3 linked regions of the Oryzias latipes genome follow. The protein of the gene in region 1 purifies or fractionates together with the protein of each later gene. This does not show direct contact. Links are inferred from orthologs where the notes say so. Each region holds a gene or a part of one and is shown in the gene's direction. Other genes may lie near its edges. The genes, in order: pdik1l, hsp90ab1 and cdc37.

Region 1 (6,312 bases):
AAAAGCTTGTTCTAGTTGAGGGTCAGAGGATGAAGGTCATTAAACTCATTTGGTTTCAAAAAGGAGGAGTTGCTGCCAGAATTCACAACCTTTGTGTTTGGTTCTTCCCATTCAGGTTTTTTTCACCTTCTTCAGCATTTACATCCTCATTTGAACTCTGTGTTTTAGCACTTTTGTTGGAATAAGTTATGACCAATGAGCTTGACTTCAAATTCAAGTGATTTTGGAAAATCCTTTTGACTCATTGGAGGACTACAAACAAACTTTTCCTCCATAATCTGTCTTCCTCCACCTCCTCATCTGAATATCTGCTTCTCTGTGCTACCTGATGCTCCGGAAAACTTAAGATTTAGTCCAGAAGATGAGGTTGCACAGCTGCTTTACAAGTGAGGCGCTGCACCGTTCTTAGCGTGGGTTCCTGGTTCCACGACTGTAAGACGCGCCCAGTGGGTGTGACCTGTTTCCCTGCAGCATGTCTGCTGATGGCCAGATGTTTCCCCTCTATATGTCTCCCATGTTCCTTTGCTTCAAGCACACCTATATGGGGTTTTTCCACTGGTCATTGTTCTTAGGCTCCTCCCTGCTTGATCGAAGCCTGTCGGCACATAGTGACAGGTGTTTGATGTCAGTCGCACATCTGGCTCTTGACGTATGTCAAGTCCCTTGATCTCATGTGGAAAGTACATCAGCTACCGGGCGAGTCTTGCAGAATCGACCAGTCAAACCATGCGAGACTAACGTTGTTGTTGTTTTTTTTCTTCCCACAGCGAAGACTAGGATGGTAAGCAGCCAGCCGAAGTACGAGCTGATCCAGGAGGTGGGGCGTGGCAGTTACGGCGTGGTCTATGAGGCGGTGGTGAAGCGCACCAGGGCCCGGGTGGCGGTGAAGAAGATCCGCTGCCACTCTCCAGAAAATGTGGAGCTGGCCTTGCGGGAGTTCTGGGCCCTGAGCAGCATCCAGAGCCAGCACCCAAACGTCATCCACCTGGAGGAGTGCATCCTGCAGCGGGACCAGCTGGCCCAGAGGATGAGCCATGGCTCCAGCTCCCCACTCTACCTGGAGGTGAGGGTGCAACAACCCTGAGTGTTTTCAGGAATAGGTGTTTTTTTTAAGGCTAGCAAGAATCTGAATCCAAGACAGTCCCATGGACTCAGTTTCTGTAGATCTCACCTGGATATAACAGTGGAGATGGCATCGTTTGTGGATCTGTCTGATTTAAAAAGAGGATCAGATGAAAAAGGGTAGGGGTTTGTAGCGGTATCCTAGTTGTTGTTGGCCCGCAGGTCCATGAATGTTCCACAGGTGGTAGTGGCGGGCCTCCCTGCTGCACTCCCAGGCCTGATAGAGGACTTTTGTTTTTGTTCATTCAGACCCTGCTTTGCCAGTGTTGGACATTCTCCCAGAATGTTCTTGTGCCACGTCGGGGCTCTCCCAGGAACAATGACGGGCGCTCTTTTGAGTTTTGAACCCTTTGTCCGTCTGGAGCTTTCTCCTGCTCTGAAGCCACGTCGTTATGCAAAGTGAATTTTTGTTTATTAGGCATTGTGGAGATTTTGGGGTCTAAAAGAGGCTGTTTTTTTTTTTTTTTTGAAGATGTACCAGTTTGTTTGTGGAGTCAAATGTTGAGCTCACAGGCAAAATCTTTTCTAAATACTGTACTTTTACTCTGTGAAATGTCCTTTGGTTGTTGCATTTGAATGGGTGGAGTTATCCTCTAGTGCACTCTTAGGAGTAGCAGCTAGCAGAAGTAGAACTTTTACCTGTTTCTATTTTCCCCCCCTCTGTTTCATCACTGTGTCGACTTTTTATGTGAAAAGTCAGGTTTGTTTCATGTGCCTGATGCAAGCTTTGCATACCAAAGCTGATTAATGAAGGGTGCCTTGATTGCTTTAAGACTGAGCCACTGAGTAAATCCACAGAGAAAATGTTGTTTATGATTTTCACAATGGGAGTCATCCCGTGCCCAAAGCCCATCACTTTTGCACATGACGTCTGCTGATGAATGATGCAGTGGTAAGGCAGACATTTTGCGAAGTCTGGGTCAGCTTTTCAGTGAGCGATGTTTTAACGCGCGGCAGAAGAATGGCCGTCACAGATCCCTGCTCGTCAAAAACCCTTCTGAAACATTTCTGATGCTTTGTAAAACATTTAATAAAATGTAAAGAACATTTTACTGCTAAACATAAAAAGTTTTGTTTATTTATTCAGAGCAATTGACTGAACCGTAGTAGTAGTAGTGTCTTTCCGTCACTCTGTGCTTTAAAACCGGAGTCCGTGTTTCCTCTTTTATCACTTAAGGTCCATAGATCCTGCAGTGCAGTTTAAGCGTTGGGCACGGCGCGTTTGCCTGACTGAGCTGAGTTGACAGAAGCCAGCATGTGATTGGATGTCTTTCTCTTTGCATCTCATGCAGAAAACAATCCGAGAGACAGTTAAAGATTTTTACTTAAAAATCTTTTTCAGGCAAAAAGAGGTTTTTATCTTGGTTTTCAGTGTGAAGTTTTATCATTTAGTGATAAATGTTTCACCCAAAAAGCGTGTCTAACCTGGTTTTTAAGGGGAATGTTGATAAATCCAAATGAAAGCAGTGGAATCCATAGGTATTTCTGTTTCTAACCTCTGTCACAGTTCAGAAACATTCCCAGTCTCTGGTCTGATTGGAACTTATAAGGGTCAGTGTTTATTCAGACTCTGTGACCTCTGTGCAGTGTTTCCATAGAAACTAGAACGGCATCCGACTCTTAACGTGTGTCGTCCTCTGTTTGTGCTGCAGCTGGTGGAGACGTCTCTGAAGGGAGAGATCACCTTTGACCCCTGCTGTGCCTCCTACCTCTGGTTTGTCATGGACTTCTGTGACGGGGGTGACATGAACGCCTACCTGCTGTCCCGCAAGCCCAGCCGCAAAACCAACACCAGCTTCATGCTGCAGCTGGGCAGCGCCTTAGCCTTCCTGCATCGCAACCAGATCATCCACCGTGACCTCAAACCAGACAACATCCTCATCTCGCAGGCCTGCACCCCCGCCGGGTCGCCCGAGCCCACCCTCAAAGTGGCCGACTTCGGGCTGAGCAAAGTCTGCTCCGCCTCCGGGCTCAACCCAGAAGAGCCGGCCAGCGTCAACAAATGCTTCCTGTCCACGGCCTGTGGGACGGACTTCTACATGGCCCCCGAGGTCTGGGAGGGCCACTACACGGCCAAGGCGGACATCTTCGCCCTAGGAGTGATCATCTGGGCCATGGTAGAGCGGATCACCTTTGTAGATGTGGAGACTCAGAAGGAGCTGCTGGGCAGCTATGTGCAGCAGGGCTCAGAGATCGTCCCCTTGGGGGAGGCCCTCCTGGAGAACCCCAAGATGGAGCTGCCTATTCCTGCCCGAAAGAAGAGCATGAACAGCCGCATGAAGCAGCTTCTGCGGGAGATGCTTTCAGCCAACCCGCAGGAGCGGCCCGACGCCGTGGAGCTGGAGCTCAGACTGATCCGGATCGCCTGCAGGGAGCTGGACTGGGACATGTGAGGCGGGGACCGCCCTCCCAGCTCATGAGCTTCTTCTCCCCCTCTAGATCATAAAGTTGTGTGTATTTTTGCAGAATAACTAGTGCAGGCATCAGTTTTAAGGGGTTTGAACTTCTTGTGCCTGGAAGGGGGAGGGGCTCTCCAGTGACTCCACCCCCTTCCAGCTGATCCAAAAGCAGCTGCATTTTGACTTCGGTGCTAAACGTTTCTAAATGCAATACGTTTTTATGAGACGTGCTCCTGTGATCATCCGTCTGCATCGGCGACACACCCTTGACCCCCCCCCCCCCCCCCCGGTGGGCTGTGTCCGGTCTTCAGGCAGACCTGAGGCCTAGAAGGAGCCCTGAACGCTCAGGAAACCATGCAGCTGCTCTGACCGGACAAAGGTTCTTTTGATCGCCCGTCCGGTTTGCTCCTCCCACCTTCCTTCTCTCCAGTGCAGTCATTCTGTGCTCGCCAGTGCCTCTGTGAGGCGTGGATTGGTTGCTGCTCCTAACTCTGTCACCTCTAGTTTTTAAACAGGGCAGAGCTGCTTATAACACCTCAGAGGGTTCTGGTTCACAGAGAGTTTAGAGAAACCGGAACATGACTCCACCTGATAGCAGAATTAAAGAATTTCAGTGTTCTGTTGAAGGTCACAGCCGCTCACAGCTTTATTTTTTCAACTTGGGGACAATGGGGGAAGGTCAGTTTTCACTGTGGTCTCCCTCTGAGATAGAAGATTCACATTTCTTTTGCCAGGTCTTCCGAGCCGGACCGCACAGGTTCAGTCCTCTGCTGCTGCTGAAAACATGGGAGCCTGAATGAAGGGAATTTTTGACAGAAATGGCGGGTGATTGACCTGACAGGGCGGGGAATTTAGTTAGTTTTCTTGCGTGCAAGCTTCTGTCCATTGTGGATCCTCAGGCTATGAAAACCTCCATGAAGGATAACTGACCACCTGGCCCTGAGCCACATAGGTTTCAGTTCTCACACGTGCTACCAGAACCCTTTTTGTTGGGACTTTTCCATGATCGCACAGACGTGATGGAGCGCCGGGAGGAGGGGAAAGTCGAGCCTTGAAGCAGCAAAGTTGGGACTTGGATTGGGTCGTTTGTAAGCCCTTAGTGCAGAGGATGAGGATGGAATTGTGTCTCATCACATTCCCTCCTCTGGCTCTTTTAGGCAGAAACTTTCTGTTTCCAGCTGTGTTTCTGAAGATGACACCCTCAGATTTCTTGTATTGTTTGTTTGCACATGTGTAGATACTGTAAAGAGGTGGGTGGGGGTGGGGTGGGGGGTGGGGGTGGGGGGTTGCATATGACCGGCTCTGTTTTTAGAGTCTCATTGTTTGACACTGAAAAAGGCTCAGTTTGCTTTACTTTTCAACTGATTCAGCATTTTCCTTCAACAAAAACATGTGAAGTTCTTCAGGAAAGTCCAGCCTCTGACCACGTCTGCGTGGGAGGGGGGAGCTGGGGGGGGGGGGGGGGGGGGGGGGGGTCAGATGTCTTCTGCGTGTCCTTCAGAAAAGGAGGGAGAAGTCTTCGGCGCTCTGGTTTGCTGTTGTTGCACTTTTTGTTCATGTAAGGAACAGGTTCAGAATTGGCGGGGGGGGGGGGGGGGGGGCTCTAAAGTGATGTTTGCTTGTTCTGATTTTTGAGTCATGGAGTGACAGAAGGACCAAAAATGATTATTTAGAAAGAAGGAATTGACTGAATCTCTGATTTATTTTGGTTCTATTGAATTTTTACTGGAATTTGCTTCAGTTGCAGTCTGATTTGTAAACCGACCCTCCCCACATATGTTCCTTTTAAGAAGCCCCCCCCTGACAGGTTTGGTGTCAAAATCTGTTCTGTTATCAGGAGCAGTTTAGAAGTGCATGGGGGGGGAAAATAAACATAAAAAAGTATTACCTCAAATAAATCAAAAGGTAGTTGTTTCCCTGCTGGTTACCTGGATCAGGTGTGTTCCAAGTGAAAACGCTTCACCCAGGTAATCCGATGTAATCGGGGGGGGGGGGGGGGGGGTCTGAAGATTGGAAAGAAAGATTCTTTCAGATTTTATTTCCTTGATTGATTTTTTTCATCTTATTTTGGGTTGACTTTATGAATCCGGCTCCTCTGTCATGCCGTACTCACAGGTGTGGTGATCAGCACTTTTTTTCCTCTAAAATCTGTATTTTGCAATAAATAATTTTGCTTTGAAACCATGCCAACGTTTTGTATGCTGTATCAGTTCCAAAACAAAAAGAAGGATTAAAAACACCTGAAGCTCTGCTCCTCCCCCTTCCACACCTGTCGGTTCCCGCTGAGTTGATGGATTTCTAATAAAGAAGTGAAACTTGAGTGTGTGCTGCTTCGTCCTCAGCCTCAGGTGTTGTCTACCTGCAGACCTGTGGCTCCTCGGTTTCAGTCCTCTGCTGCTTCCTCCCCCCCGATGGATGGATGTTTCCACAGATGAGATGATCACAGCTCGCTTACCTATGAATGTAAGTTGTGGGTTCAGCTCCTGGAACACCAGCTCTCTTTAGGTTTTTTTTTTTTTTAAAGTTCTGACAGCCTTTGAAAAGACGAGTCAAATCTCTGAAACAGAATACAATCTTTTAGGTAAAGATTTATCCTTATTTTATAAATCAGTTTGAAAGCAAAGTAGCCAACCCAGCTACTGTTATGTGAATGTGGGGTACACCCTCAACACTTTGCATGGCCACACTTACATGGGCGCTGAGGGGCAAGATAGAGCCACCCATGAAGCATGTTTTTGGATTGTGCGAGTAAGCCGGAGTTTCTGGAGAACATGCCAGAAGAAGAACCAGG
Region 2 (7,327 bases), on another chromosome or scaffold:
ATGAGAAGACATGATTAAATTGATGGTAAGGTAGGGACTGGAGCATAGATTCATTTAAACTTAAGTGCATAAAGTTTATCTAAACCATCTATATTGGTGAAATAATGTTTAAACTTTCATATGTCAATAATTTAGATAAAAACGCGGTTACCAAAAACAAGCAGCTTGGCGTGCTAAAGCTAACATTGAACACGCTACACTAGCCGGTGACACTAAACAGAGTCAGTTAGGCTAACGTTTGCAATAGCTGACGTGACCTAACAAACAAAGCTAACTTTGTTTTTTGAAATAATTAGTATAGACTAAATTTAATACATTACAATGTTCTTACCCTTAATTAGGTCGTGTGAAAATTAGTAAAAACCAACAGTAAAATTGGTAATATCTTTGAAGGGAAAAATCGTTTACGTCTCTAATGGCACTAAACTAGCCCACGAGCTAGCTGAGAGCGTTATCAACACTCACGCATGCGCACTATTTACCAAAGGACAACCGCACTTCTTTTGTGCGTCGGGACATTGCCCGTGGACGGGGCTAAAGTTCTGCTCAGTACACCAGTGTTTATGTTGTGAAAAATGTGTCTTTTACTACAAAGGCTCTCTGAATCTGATTTATTTGCATGGTAAATGATCATGTAGTTAATATTTTAAATTAGCTTTTTTTATAGGAAAATGATACTAATCATTCCAAAATTTCTATTTTTCTACATTTTATAATTTTACTACATGCTAATGAAATTTCAATTTGTTCTGCATAAATGTTTGTGTTATTTAACGTAAGCCTATTAACAATGACAAAATTAGATATTTGACATAGTTTTATTTACATTTTGTTTAACCACGTTCAATTGGAAGTGCCGTCATTTTGATTTCAATGTTAAAATATGTAAAATAAATCAATAACTAAAAAAAGTTTTTATTAAAAAAATATTTGGCATATTTATTTTTCATAAATGTAAAAAAACAAGCCTTTTAAAAAGTTTTGACCAGTCATATTGATTTATTTACAGTAAAAAAAGAAATAAAGGTGTCATTGATCAAAATGAGGTACAGAGCGGCAGTTGTAATTTCTGTGGCAACCAATAGAATGCGAAGTCAGCATGTGACAACTCGGTGACGTCATGTTTAGGCGGGTTTTTCATGGAAAGTGCTAGAAGAAACGAAGCACTCCCCTTCGGTATTCTTCCATGTGATTACAAAGACCTAGAGTGTTCGTTGATTCCGTAAAAAATACAGCGTGCTTTTAATTTTTGACATCCAGATATAGAGATTCTATACAAATACTTTTTTTTTTCAACAAAATTTTGACACATTTTTAGAATTTAGACAATTACTAAACGGAAGCTCGTAGATGTAGTTTTTGCTGTATCTTAAATAACCGCTAGATGGCAGCAAAAATCAAATACGATTGATTTTATTCTTAGTTTTGTTTTTAATATAATAAATTTATAACGTTTAGATTTTACCTCCTTGGCCAATCAAAATATTGTGCATGCTATTCCACTATAACTTTTTATCTGTTGATATAAATAATTACATATTTTTCTGGAGGAGCACAGTTAGTTCGAGAAGGAGCGCCGCGGAGGGATCTTGTCCTGCACTGAAACTCATGAGCATATAGATTCGGCGTGCAGCTCCAGAATCCTCCTTTCTTTTTCCTGCGTCAGTGAGCGGCAGGGATAGCACTTTTGTTGCATTTTATTCAAGAAAAGCCAACATAAGAAACAAGGTATGTCTTGGTAATTCACTTCATATTGAGGGAAACCAAACTTTAAATGGTTTATTATTATTCTACACCGAATGTTGAGTCATTTAACGGGTTTTTTTGTTATTTGATTTCGATTCACGTGGTTTGTTTAACCTTGATTCATCGATTAAAAGCATTTCTGACATAGCGGGTTTACTATTCTTAATTAGTAATGGGCTTTAGGTTAAATCTTGTACTAGTGACCGAAAATAAGTGGTGGGCTTTTGCCGCATCTTGTAGGCAGACAGAAGGTATGGAGATTTATTATTGTGAAGGTTGGTTGTACCTGACTGTTTAAAGAATAACATTACCATAGTTTAACGAGCGATTGACGTGTCTTTGTGTATATTTTGCCAACGAAGGATTCTAGATGGACTACTAGTTTAGAATCTTACACCCAGAGTGTGTACATCATGTACATCTTGCATAACCGACACAGGAGTGCTCGTGGTTTTTCGGGGTGATGGTAGTTTTGGGGGCTATTTTTTTGCAGTAAAGCTCCTGAGCGATAATCCAAAATCGTTCGATCTTGATATTCACGGAAGCTTCGGGTTTTTTCGGTTTTAGTCGGCACGTGCTTGCAGCGTCCATTGTCCATGCCTCGCCGCCATGTTTCGCTGCACTTCCGCCCGTATGTTGTAATCTGATGGCAGGGATCCGACTCTGAACCGGTTTCTGAATTGTGGTAGTTTATGGTTTAAAATTATTCATTAAAAAAAATTAAACTAAAAACTACAATCTTAGTAAAATAATTGGCAGTTTATTACCGTATTTTGCGTATTTGTAAGATGTTGTGCTTTTATTTTGGCGTTTCCTGTTGGTTCATCCCATTATTAGTCTGACGCTGTTTGTTGCAAACCTGTTATTTCTTATGCAGATGCCTGAAGAAATGCACCAAGAGGAGGAGGCTGAGACCTTTGCCTTCCAGGCAGAGATTGCTCAGCTGATGTCCCTGATCATCAACACCTTTTATTCCAACAAAGAGATCTTCCTCAGGGAGCTGATCTCCAATGCCTCTGATGTAAGTCTGCAGCAGTTTACGTAACATCGTATCACCTCTGTGTCAATACAGTGAAATATCTTGACGCTGAATTATTTTTAGGCTCTGGACAAAATCCGCTATGAAAGCTTAACTGATCCCTCCAAGCTGGACAGCGGCAAGGATCTGAAAATCGACATCATCCCCAACAAGGCTGACCGCACCTTGACCATTGTTGACACTGGAATTGGCATGACCAAGGCTGACCTTATCAACAACCTGGGTACCATTGCAAAGTCTGGGACAAAGGCTTTCATGGAAGCCCTTCAGGTATTAATATAAACAGGCATAAAGGGGAAAAATACATATACACATTTATATATTTTTTTAGCAGAAGTGAATACAAATTGTGGAACTTTGCCGTTTTCTTCAGGCTGGAGCCGACATCTCCATGATTGGTCAGTTCGGTGTGGGATTTTACTCTGCCTACCTCGTCGCTGAGAGGGTGGTGGTTATCACCAAGCACAACGACGATGAACAGTACGCCTGGGAGTCCTCTGCTGGGGGATCCTTTACCGTCAAGGTCGACAGTGGTATGGATCTTCAAATATTATAATTATGGTGCAACAAACTAAAATCTGACTGTGAAACATTTGTTAACCTCTACAACACTGTTCTCAGGCGAGCCCATTGGCCGTGGAACAAAGATCATCCTGCACCTTAAAGAAGACCAAACGGAGTACATTGAGGAGAAGAGGGTCAAAGAGATCGTGAAGAAGCATTCTCAGTTCATCGGCTACCCCATCACCCTCTTTGTAAGTGATTTGTTTGTTTTTTTACAAACATATTTCTCACTAATAGAAGCTTATGTGGAGTTGTACGTGGTTTATCTATAGGTGGAGAAAGAACGTGACAAGGAGATCAGTGATGATGAGGCAGAGGAGGAAAAAGAAGAGAAGGAGACCAAGGAGGAAGGTGAGGACAAGCCAAAGATTGAGGATGTGGGCTCAGATGATGAAGAAGACGCTAAAGACAAGGGCAAGAAGAAGAAGAAGATCAAGGAGAAGTACATTGACCAGGAAGAGCTGAATAAGACCAAGCCCATCTGGACCAGAAACCCTGATGACATCACGAGTGAGGAGTACGGCGAGTTCTACAAGAGCCTCACAAACGACTGGGAGGATCACCTCGCTGTGAAGGTAAAATAGAGGTTTGGGTGTCTTCTGATCGGCTGATGGAACCTCGTGCTGACGTGTGTTTCTCTTTTAGCACTTTTCAGTGGAAGGTCAGCTGGAATTCAGGGCTCTGCTCTTTGTTCCTCGTCGTGCACCTTTTGACCTCTTTGAGAACAAGAAGAAGAAGAACAACATCAAGCTGTACGTCAGGAGAGTCTTCATCATGGACAACTGTGAAGAGCTCATCCCAGAGTACCTGAGTAAGTTTTAAATCTCTGTTCCACCGGATCTGAAAGGAAATGCACAGCAGCTTTAAAACGTTTTTGTTTGTTTACAACAGACTTCATCCGTGGAGTGGTGGACTCTGAAGACCTGCCCCTCAACATTTCAAGAGAAATGCTGCAGCAGAGCAAGATCTTGAAAGTAATCCGCAAAAACATTGTCAAGAAGTGCCTGGAGCTGTTCGGAGAGCTGGCAGAAGACAAAGAAAACTACAAGAAATTCTATGAAGGTTTCTCAAAGAACATCAAGGTATCTCAAACATATCTGAAGCTTTTCTAAATGATGCCTATAAACTGATGGATTTTTTTTTTCCTGTAAACTTTTAAGGTGTGAAAATAAATCGACACATATTTAGCGTGAAGCCTTGGAATTGGGCAACGCTTGCTGCATTACCCAGAATTTAGTTGAGTAAATCGATCACAACTTTTATGTTCACAGCTCGGCATCCATGAGGATTCTCAGAACCGTAAGAAGCTGTCTGAGCTGCTGCGCTACCACAGCTCCCAGTCTGGAGATGAAATGACTTCCCTCACAGAGTACCTTTCTCGCATGAAGGAGAACCAGAAATCCATTTACTACATCACTGGTAGGTTTGGCTTCCAGTCCATATGTTCTTTTGTTGATTCTTTTGGCACGACTTAAGTTTTTGTTTTTTGCCTCTGAAGGTGAAAGCAAGGACCAGGTTGCCAACTCTGCTTTCGTGGAGCGCGTCCGCAAGCGTGGCTTCGAGGTCCTGTACATGACCGAGCCCATCGACGAGTACTGTGTTCAGCAGCTGAAGGAGTTTGATGGCAAGAACCTGGTTTCTGTCACCAAAGAGGGCTTGGAGCTGCCAGAGGATGAGGAGGAAAAGAAGAAGATGGAGGATGACAAGGCCAAGTTTGAGAACCTCTGCAAGCTCATGAAAGAGATTCTGGACAAGAAAGTAGAGAAGGTTGGTCTCAAATAAGAAACTGTGCTTTTGCTCCTCATTTCTTCACCATCATTTCCTTAACTTCAGTGGTGTTTTGTTTGGAAACAGGTTTCCTAGTGGTAACTACTTATATTGGTGAGTTCATACAGAGTAGAAGTGGCCTGTAGAGTTTCTAGCGTTGCCTGATATTTGAGTTGAAAGGGTTTGGTTTTGCAAGAGCCTGATAAGTCTGACAGCGACGTGAGTTCTAACAATGTTTGTCTTTTGAGGCTGTGTCTAACACTCGATGAAATCAGCATCACACAAACGGCCTGAACCGCATGCGTGTATTGCATTCCAGTGGTCGGTTTTCTCAAACCGATGCTTACCTTCATGCCTTCTACAGGTGACTGTCTCCAACAGACTGGTATCGTCCCCCTGCTGCATTGTGACGAGCACTTACGGCTGGACGGCAAACATGGAGAGGATCATGAAGGCCCAGGCTCTCAGGGATAACTCCACCATGGGTTACATGATGGCCAAGAAGCATTTAGAGATCAACCCCGACCATCCCATCATGGAGACCCTCCGGCAGAAGGCTGAGACCGACAAAAACGACAAAGCTGTGAAGGACCTCGTCATCCTGCTGTTCGAAACTGCTCTGCTGTCCTCTGGCTTCTCCCTGGACGACCCTCAGACCCACTCCAACCGCATCTACAGAATGATCAAACTTGGTTTGGGTACGAAAACACTCCAGACTATAAATATCTTTGTTTTAAAAGGTTCATGTCAATAATTGGAGGTCTTGTCTCCAGGTATCGACGATGACGACATCCCCACAGAGGAGCCCGCCTCCACATCTGCCCCAGAAGAGATGCCACCCCTGGAAGGAGATGCTGACGACGATTCGTCACGCATGGAAGAGGTCGACTAAACTTCCCCAAACTTCACACTTTTAAGCCTCACTTTCCCAGAAATCCATCTATTATAAATTCTGTAACTAAAAAATCAAGTAGGCATTCCTGTTGTGACGCTCTCGGTAAGAGATCCTCACACTGAAAAACCTTGTTTGAAAGTAGGTTTGTTTCTGCTTGCAATGTTCATGGTGACGACTCATTTTAAACTCCCCTGTTGCACTGTGGTTTACTTGTTCGGTTGATGTGCAAGTTGGGGAATGATGCATTCCATTCCAAATGTTTGGGGGGGGTTCTCTTCATGTGCAGCGCTGCATGGAGAGAGGACTGTAAGATTCCTTTGCCTGAGGTCAGGTTTGTCTGTGTTCAGTTTTGTTTTTGCAAAAATAAAGAATATTGTCCCTAATGTCTGTTTTTGCACTCAATACTTCTGATTGGCCACAAGGTGGAGCCCTTTCATATGCAACCATTCGACTGGAGTTTAAAAATGCTGCATAAAACTGTCAGTGTTTACTTTTGTAGTCATTAAATTTGGCAAGAATTGTTAGAATCTTTACTTCAAGTCGTCTTTGCATTTCTGCAGTATTAGGGAAATCTAAGGTTTAAAAGGATGCAAACATCCTTTACTGTAGAGGACAGTGCCATCTGCTGGCAGAAGGCTAAAAATCAACAAAGAACCAACAACCAAATGTTGTTCATAAGAAACTGAGGATTCTACTTTAATATGAATCTGGGGAACCCTAAATTTGCAACTTTTTTTAAGTCCAAAAATTTTCAGGATTGCTTCAAAAACCAAAGGTTGCATTTTTAGCAAATCATTTTATAGGGTTTTATTTGGAATAATGTGCTTTGCCTGGAATTGGGGATATTTATCCAAAACGTTTTCAAGAAGCTGGACTGAACAGAGGTTCTCGCTGTGACGACTCCAAAGGTTACCTTAGATTTTTAAAAATATATTGAATAAATTAAACAGAGAAAACTTTAACAATTACGTTTTATGCTTAAAATTCATGATTCATCTGCTAACTTGAACTTCACAAGTGTATGTTCACAACAATGTTAACTGTCTAAAGTTGTCTGTTTTTGTTTTGAAATTAAGAGAATCCTACATACTTAAAAGTATAAAATACACAGATGCATTCCTGTGCATAATAGGGTATTTATTGAATTTATTTCATTGTTTTGATGCAGCCATCAAAACAGTATCCATGTAAAGCATTTTGAGCTGCCAATCTGCATGACTGGTGCAGATCAAGAAAAGCTGCCTTCCCAAAATCATAAAAGTAGCAAAGAATTAAAGACAAAACTGCATAAAATACAGGAAGTTTCCTCACAATCA
Region 3 (7,474 bases), on another chromosome or scaffold:
TCGTCCACCCTCGTAATCACTCCAACTCAAAGCGAAAATGAAGCAGAGTATAAGTGTGTGGCAGAGCTGGAGCTCGGACCTGAGGGGCCACAGCCACCTCCTTCTGTGACCTCAGAGCCTCTCATTGCATCTGTGTACTGTGAGTTATGAACCCCTGCATCTTCCTAAAGCACGTCTCCTCAAATTTGACTTATTAAAGACTGATTCCTGATCTTCTTTTTCCCTCTAGTTCCTCCAACAATCCTGAGCCCTGAAACAGAAGTTTTGAACTTAACTATGGGTAACGAAATCACCCTAAACTGCACAGCCACAGGAAACCCTGCACCTGTTTACACGTGGCAATCCTTGCATCCCATGCAGGAGAAGATGATGGATGAAGCTGTTGTTACTTCTTCTTCACTTCTCCCAGGGACCTACACCTGCACAGCCTCCAATCTACTGGATCAGAAAAGCAAGCAGTTCCTTGTCAAAGCAAAAACCAAAGGTAAAAAGACATTTATTATTTGAAATTTTGAAATGAGTCACACATTTTCACACAAAGTTCTGATGTCCACTTTTTTTTTTGTTTTTTTTTTTTGCTCAGGTATCTAAGACAAGCTACCTTGCTTCAGGGTCAGAAGACTACATCCGGCATGCAGAGAGCATTGCTCTTAGCAGATTTTACTGTTGTTTTCAACACGGAAATGATGCAACATTTATGATTCGGTGGATATTTATGTAAAGTTAGATTTCACAGACAAGACCACATTAAAAAAAGGTCTTTGGAAATTTCATTTTTTAATGTGTTAGATACATTTTTTAGAATTGTAATTATCTTTTGTTTGTTTGTGTCCAACTGTATGTGATTTTCTTGATCTGGTTTATGTCTTGACTATATGTTTTCTTGACTAACAAAATATAATCATTGCAAATAAAAAAAGACTCAATGACAATATTTCAGTGGTTGCCATTGTACATATGAACTGTTTGTTAATTTTCTTATCTTTATCAATAAAAGCAAAACATCAAAAAAGTATGGACATTTTATTTGCACTTCTGCGTTTTTTTCAAAATAAAGTATAAAGTTCAAATATCTGGTATGACCAGATTGATTTTTAAAAATTGTTAAAATACCAACAAAAGCCTAAATGCATGTATTTCATTGCCCACACGATGTCGCTGTTGAGCAGATGTCTAAATGTAATTGGCTAACAGCATGACACGTGATCAAAACAATCCCTTGAAAACGGAAGTGGTTGGGTTCCCAGCAGTAGTAGGTCGATCTGCGTATCAAATATTACTGGTATGTCTAACTTTAAAACCATGCCCCCAATCTTTATCCAATAAGTAAAGTTTAAGATTCTGCCCATGTTTTATTCATATCATTGTTTTCATTCTCACATGTTTTCCTTTAGATATGCCACAGAAAGATCCGTGTCAAAAGCAAGCATGTGCCATTCAAACGTGTTTACAAGGTACACATTGACGTTGTTGTTGTGCTCTTCTAATGCAAATCTCAAACAAATTTGTGAACTTTTTGTTCTCATCTCACAGCTAACAAGTATGTGGAAAGTAAATGCGAGGATGTGATCCGAGAGATGCAGCGGTGCTGTGCAGCGCAAACTGGAAACTCCGTCTGCTGCTCAGGTTTCAAAGACTCCAAACTGACAAACTTCAAACCGAGCAAAAATAGCTGACACCACCTGCTGATGACTTGCATTCAATGGAAATAAAAAGTATATAAAATTGTCTAGTTCATCTTCTTTTCTCTGTTAGATTGAACATTTTCTAGCTATTTTATTCAAACGTGTTGTCACAGGTTATGATCGCAACACCGGCGATGAAGAAAAAAGGAAAACATTCACAAACTGATCTTGTTTTCCTTTCTTAGAACTTGAACTTTTCCTTCTTGGGAACGGACAAACTAAATTATCATCTATCAGTCTGGAGCACACATCTATATCTGAAACATAACTATATAAAAATCATATCTGGCCATTTATATCAAGAACGAAAAATAGCAGTAAGCAAATGAATATCATACTCTTAGTTTACCATATTACGTAGGTACATTTTCTAAATCTTATATGTAAAAATAATAATCTTCTAATATGTGTTCAGATCAGCATTCTAATTTATTCTTAATTCGCCTTGAAAAATGTAATCATTCGGGTCATGGTGCTTTTCTTTCTTTTTTATATTTAAATATAATTTCCCTTTTCTTTAATTTTTATTGAACAATTGCAACATACAGAACAAAGAAATGCAACAATTATGCACAGATAATGTACATTACAATTCTGAATACAGAATAAACGTGTTACATGCTTAAGAAGATTCTAATTATTTCTAACAATCACAAAAGGGAATAAAAAATTAAAATAAATAAAGAAAATAGAACTAAACATAGAAAAAAAATGATAAAATAAAAAGAGAAAATGCGAGAGTAAACTTGTGTTATTATTCCAAAAGATTTACAAATGTTAATTGTTTTTTGAGCTTTTGTGTTTTTTGAAGCTGAAATTAAGTTTAAATATTGCTGCAGTTCCAGTTTTAACACAAATAAATCAGTTTTTTATAGGAGAATTTGCTTTTATGAATATCAAATTTAGCCATAAATAACAACATGTTTATACAAAAGAAAGCATCACAGTCTTTCAGATTAAAACTATGAAAACCAAATATTTTCCGTTTTTGGTCATTGTTTCCGGTGTCTAAATTACGACGTACAATGTACGCGCCTTACGTATGACGTAAACGGAAGCTTTGGGGAGAATTTCTTCTAGAACTCTGTAGCAGCTTCCCGTTAGCTCTTGCTTGGGAGTAACAAATCAATTCGCACGACCAAATTTGGAGTACAGAAACACAGAGCACCAACACACATTTCTGAAGGGTTCGAGTGTGAATATTTCTTAGGTCGGTATTTTAGCGAGCGTGATTTAGACGCCAACTTAACCGAGTTCTAGTCGAAGCTAGCGCTGCTTCTTCTTGCTGCAGGATGTCCAGGATAGATTACAGCGTGTGGGATCACATTGAGGTATCGGATGATGAAGATGATACCCACCCAAATATTGACACTCCCAGTCTCTTCAGATGGAGACACCAGGTAAATATAAAAGCTTTTCGGAAAAGTGCTTAGCGTGATCGTTAGCTTTCACTTTCTGCTTGTAATTCTTCAGCCATGCTAATTTTCCTACTTACTTCGGATTCCTGAATTTGAACTCAAACTGGACAAGAGCTGATGAGTATTTGAAATTGTTTACACATGATGTTCACGCGTGTGATCTGTTCCTTAGGCGCGCGTGGAGCGAATGGAAGAATTCCAGAAGAAAGGCGAAGACCTAAAAAAAGGACTCGCCGAATGTCGGCGTAAACTCACGGAGTTACAGACAAAGATCCAGGACCTGAACCTTTCCGATGGTGTCAAAACAGAGCTCACCAAATACCAAGCCGATGAGAAGAAGCTGAAAAAAGAGGAGCGGGACTGGGAGAAAAAGCTGGATGAGTACTACAGGGAGGAGAAGAAGATGCCGTGGAACGTGGACACACTCAGCAAGGAAGGGTTCAGCAAGGTGACTTCTATATGCAGATAGAAACCTGTGGTTTTCTAGCAAGAGGTTGGAAAATCCAATGAAGCTCACATTAGTCCGTTGACATTTTATAAACAAAGTAGTTATTTCAAATCAATGCTAGATGGTGTCAAATCTTGATCTTTGTTCTCGCTTATAGAGCATAGTGAACATAAAACCTGAAACTTCGGAAGATACGGAAGAAGAAAAGGAGAAAAAACACAAAACATTTGTTGAAAAACACGAGAAGCAGATTAAACATTTCGGTAAGCCTGAGTAACTTCCATAAGGTCATTCTGTTGTCTTTTCCCTTCTTTAAAAACAATTTAAGTCTATTTTTATTAACTTACAGGGATGTTGCGACGATGGGACGACAGCCAAAAGTATCTCTCTGACAATCCTCATCTTGTATGTGAAGAAACCGCTAACTATCTCGTCATCATGTGCATTGATCTGGAAGTTGAGGAGGTAAACACATATACTTATATTTTTATTTTATATTCTTGTATCTTTGTTTTTTAGCATATCTTCTCCTCAAAGTGTGTGCTCCTGTTTGCAGCTGTTTAGGTTTTTCATTTCTTAGTAAAGCTTTGCTTTCCTATTTGCAGAAACACGCACTGATGGAGCAGGTGGCCCATCAGACCATTGTCATGCAGTTCATTCTTGAGTTGGCAAAAAGCCTCAAAGTGGATCCCCGCGGTTGCTTCCGTCAGTTTTTTGCAAAGATTAAAGTAAGCAAGTTTATTTAATTTTATTGTGTTTAATTGCTCTGAACTTATTCATTTTAAAGAAGATGTTTGGGCAGGAAAAGAAAGGGTGCTTTCATAAACAAGCAGTACAAAAATCAAAGGCAGTCTGTCTGTTATTCCTGGACTAAAACAGATTATTTTAAAAGTCCTTTTTTTTTTACCAGAAGTTTCTGTAAAATTTTATACTTCTGGTTTGGAATGTTCACATTTGTTCATTTGTTTTCTTACAGACCGCAGATCAGCAATACCAAGATGCTTTTAACGACGAGCTTGAGGCGTTTAAAGAACGGGTGAGAGGAAGAGCAAAGATTCGCATAGAAAAGGCCCTGAAAGAATACGAGGAAGAGGAGCGGCAGAAGCGGTTGGGGCCTGGAGGCCTGGATCCAGTTGAAGTGTATGAGTCGCTGCCTGCTGTAAGTGCATTCTAACAAGCAGGGTTTCATTTTTTGTCTCTATTGAGTTTGAAATGCTCACATAGTTTGCCTTCAACCACAGGAAATGCAGAAATGCTTTGATGAGAAGGACATCCAAATGTTACAAGAAGTCATCAGTAAAATGGATCCAACTGTAAGCTATACAGTTTTGTCTGGTTGAATCTTTTTGGATTTAGGTGCTTTTTTTTTTTTTAAGAAATCCCTGTTAACATGTGACTGTCGTGTCTTTTAGGAGGCAAAACATCATATGAAGCGTTGCATTGACTCAGGTCTGTGGGTCCCCAACTCTGGGGAAGGAAAGGAGGAAGAAGGGACCTATGAAGAGGTGAAACGGGAGCCGGAAGAAACAAAGGAGTGATCACAATGGATTTGTTGTTTGCAATTGTATTCACTTACTGTACCCCAGTCTCATTTAATGTAAAACAGCTTGCCAATAAACACCATCATTTCTTTAAACTTTTTGAGTACAAATTTGAATTATAAATGTGTAATAAGTCACATATTTGAAACAACAAAAACAAACTGTGTTTCTGCATCGCCTGAGCTGAATGTTTTTCCTTCATTTGTTATGCTTTGTTGGTATTGGTGCATAGTTGCAAGCTTAAGTCTAACATTGTCACATTTTTTTGCAACAGATATTTTATGTGACATTTGTACAACATTCACCGTTAAGTTCCAATGTTTTGATTTTTTTTTTTTCTTTCCTCCGGGTCTTTTACATTATTCAGGACAACAAAAACATTGACTTGTGCTCAAATAATCATTCAAACTGCTTGATTGATGAGCTTTATAGAACAGCTGGTAAATGAGGTTTCTAAGAAAAATAGTAAGGGTTACTGCTGTCAACTCCAGGCCAACGACAGTTGATCATGTTCGGTTCTGTTTATCCTAAATGAACCCAAAGATTTAGCTTTGGCTTCTTACTCAGTGGTAATCTAAAGATGGAAAAGACCAACTAGTCGCCTTTGTGAGATGATGTAAACTTACTGTGCTTATTCTTCCAAGGCAGGAGTACTTTGACATTTGCATGTCATGGCTTACATTTTTAAGTGAAGAACTGAGGGAAAACTGCTTTCAATACTGCAATTTTTCTCATAGAAAAATAAAAAAAAAAACTTGAAAACTGAACCATTGTAGTTTTTTAATGTAAGGATAGAACTATGAATATTTGAAAATGTGTGCCTGAAAGAATGAATAATCTAAATATGTTAAAAATGAATGATGACTGTTTTTTCTGGTCCCATGCTGCAAGAATATAGCTTCTGTCCCAGGAGCCTTTCACTTTATAACAATGCATAGTTATGGTATTAGATTATAAATAGACAACCAAAAGAACATATTTTTTCCTTTGTAGGTGTCTTTAGCTTCTTTTTATTATTTTCTGGTATCACATGAGATGTTGAAAATCGAATTATCTGTACTAGAGCCAGTGGAAAAGGGGAATTGTGTGTTTTTTCAAAAAGAAAAACCATATCTTCCTCAAAAATGCAGTTCAATCATGATTATTGTCAAGAAGAATATTCTTTTTCATATTTGACATTAAATATTGACAGACATTGCTCACATTTTAAAAGTAACGCTACAAAATAAAAGCACTTTCTTATTTGACAGGATGATGATGCAAAAATGAGTCATTTTAGAAACCACATTCATACTAAACATTGAGTCAGATTTGATCCAAACATGGTGCCAGGGTTAAACCACATTTACCATTTACATGCATATTAGGTAATCTAGATTAAATGGATTGATATAAACGAGCACATTAAATTTCCATTTAGGCAATACTGGATGTTTTTGTTCTGTTTACACTTTTTTTAATGCTGTATTTTGTTTCACATTTAGTAATCATCCAATTACATCAGTAACTAGTTTTTTTTGCAACAGTTTGTTATTAATGTTTTTTTTCTCTCCTCGATGTTGAGTCTAAGGGTACAATTTTTTTAGTTTATGTGGCAGCTCTAGCTGCCAGATCTTTGTATGTAGTTTTTTTCAACTTTTTAGGCAGATCTTAACACTGAATAGGTTTAAGCCAAGATTTTAGAATTCTAAATGTCCGCATCCATCTTACGAACTTGCTGAATCTACTTTTGGGAGCACAAGGATGCTGGAGCCTATCCCAGCTTTTCTTGGGTGAAGGTGGGGTACATGCCTAGCCGGTTGCGTCCATTGCAGAGCCTCACATGTAGGAACAATTAAGCAAAGTTATCAATATACCTATAAATCATGATTTTGGACCGTGAAAGTGAAAATCTGAAGTGCCCAGAGAAAACTCATGCATGCACATGGAGAACATGGAAATTCTACATAGCACATTCCCAGCTGGGATTTGAACCAGGGCTTTCTCGCTGTGATGCTCGGAACCACCTTGCAGTCCAATATGGGAAAGTAATAGAAATGAAACACTTCATACTATCAAAATAAAGCAAAATATCACGCCTTTAACAGCCATACTTATTCCCACATCCATATTTCATCCCACAAAAGAATAAAACACCGATTTGACACCAATTTATTTTGAATAAATAAATTAAACCAATTTATTTTATTTTGAAAAGGACGAAACAGTTTCTATGGAGTGAAATGCGCATGCGTGTTGAGTCAGAGAGCGTCGACGTCAGCTGGCGATTCCCGTCGTTCGGGTTTTTACTTCACGAGAATCCGTCAAGGGAGTGGGTGTTAGAGGGGAATTATGCCCTCTGACATTTAGCTTTCAGTTCACAGCGCTGCCTTCTGTTTTTAC

The links.
Region 2: the proteins of pdik1l (region 1) and hsp90ab1 purify together in Homo sapiens (affinity purification with mass spectrometry; 3 studies listed by BioGRID and IntAct, counting the BioPlex papers as one, with this or other methods). This does not show direct contact. The link is inferred for Oryzias latipes from reciprocal best matches to the Homo sapiens genes PDIK1L and HSP90AB1.
Region 3: the proteins of pdik1l (region 1) and cdc37 purify together in Homo sapiens (affinity purification with mass spectrometry; 3 studies listed by BioGRID and IntAct, counting the BioPlex papers as one, with this or other methods). This does not show direct contact. The link is inferred for Oryzias latipes from reciprocal best matches to the Homo sapiens genes PDIK1L and CDC37.

The regions. Positions count from the first base shown.
Region 1 is NC_019869.2:17,960,801-17,967,112, forward strand, and holds the end of pdik1l (serine/threonine-protein kinase PDIK1L), read left to right. Parts: exon of another isoform or gene 1-680; intron 681-767; 5' UTR 768-778; coding exon 779-1,063; intron 1,064-2,774; coding exon 2,775-3,515; 3' UTR 3,516-4,152; downstream 4,153-6,312.
Region 2 is NC_019882.2:5,880,728-5,888,054, forward strand, and holds hsp90ab1 (heat shock protein HSP 90-beta), read left to right. Parts: upstream 1-2,617; coding exon 2,618-2,767; intron 2,768-2,848; coding exon 2,849-3,055; intron 3,056-3,158; coding exon 3,159-3,318; intron 3,319-3,406; coding exon 3,407-3,540; intron 3,541-3,621; coding exon 3,622-3,924; intron 3,925-3,994; coding exon 3,995-4,160; intron 4,161-4,240; coding exon 4,241-4,431; intron 4,432-4,620; coding exon 4,621-4,768; intron 4,769-4,847; coding exon 4,848-5,116; intron 5,117-5,203; exon of another isoform or gene 5,204-5,230; intron 5,231-5,480; coding exon 5,481-5,814; intron 5,815-5,889; coding exon 5,890-6,008; 3' UTR 6,009-6,394; downstream 6,395-7,327. UniProt on the Homo sapiens protein: Molecular chaperone that promotes the maturation, structural maintenance and proper regulation of specific target proteins involved for instance in cell cycle control and signal transduction. Undergoes a functional cycle linked to its ATPase activity.
Region 3 is NC_019866.2:8,381,128-8,388,601, reverse strand, and holds cdc37 (hsp90 co-chaperone Cdc37), read left to right. Parts: upstream 1-2,736; 5' UTR 2,737-2,895; intron 2,896-2,976; 5' UTR 2,977-2,977; coding exon 2,978-3,085; intron 3,086-3,275; coding exon 3,276-3,551; intron 3,552-3,708; coding exon 3,709-3,814; intron 3,815-3,900; coding exon 3,901-4,016; intron 4,017-4,156; coding exon 4,157-4,279; intron 4,280-4,527; coding exon 4,528-4,710; intron 4,711-4,792; coding exon 4,793-4,864; intron 4,865-4,963; coding exon 4,964-5,089; 3' UTR 5,090-5,856; downstream 5,857-7,474. Other genes in the region: hemicentin-1, read left to right, coding at 1-139, 230-484, 584-591; cmc4 (cx9C motif-containing protein 4), read left to right, coding at 1,397-1,454, 1,534-1,676. UniProt on the Homo sapiens protein: Co-chaperone that binds to numerous kinases and promotes their interaction with the Hsp90 complex, resulting in stabilization and promotion of their activity. Inhibits HSP90AA1 ATPase activity.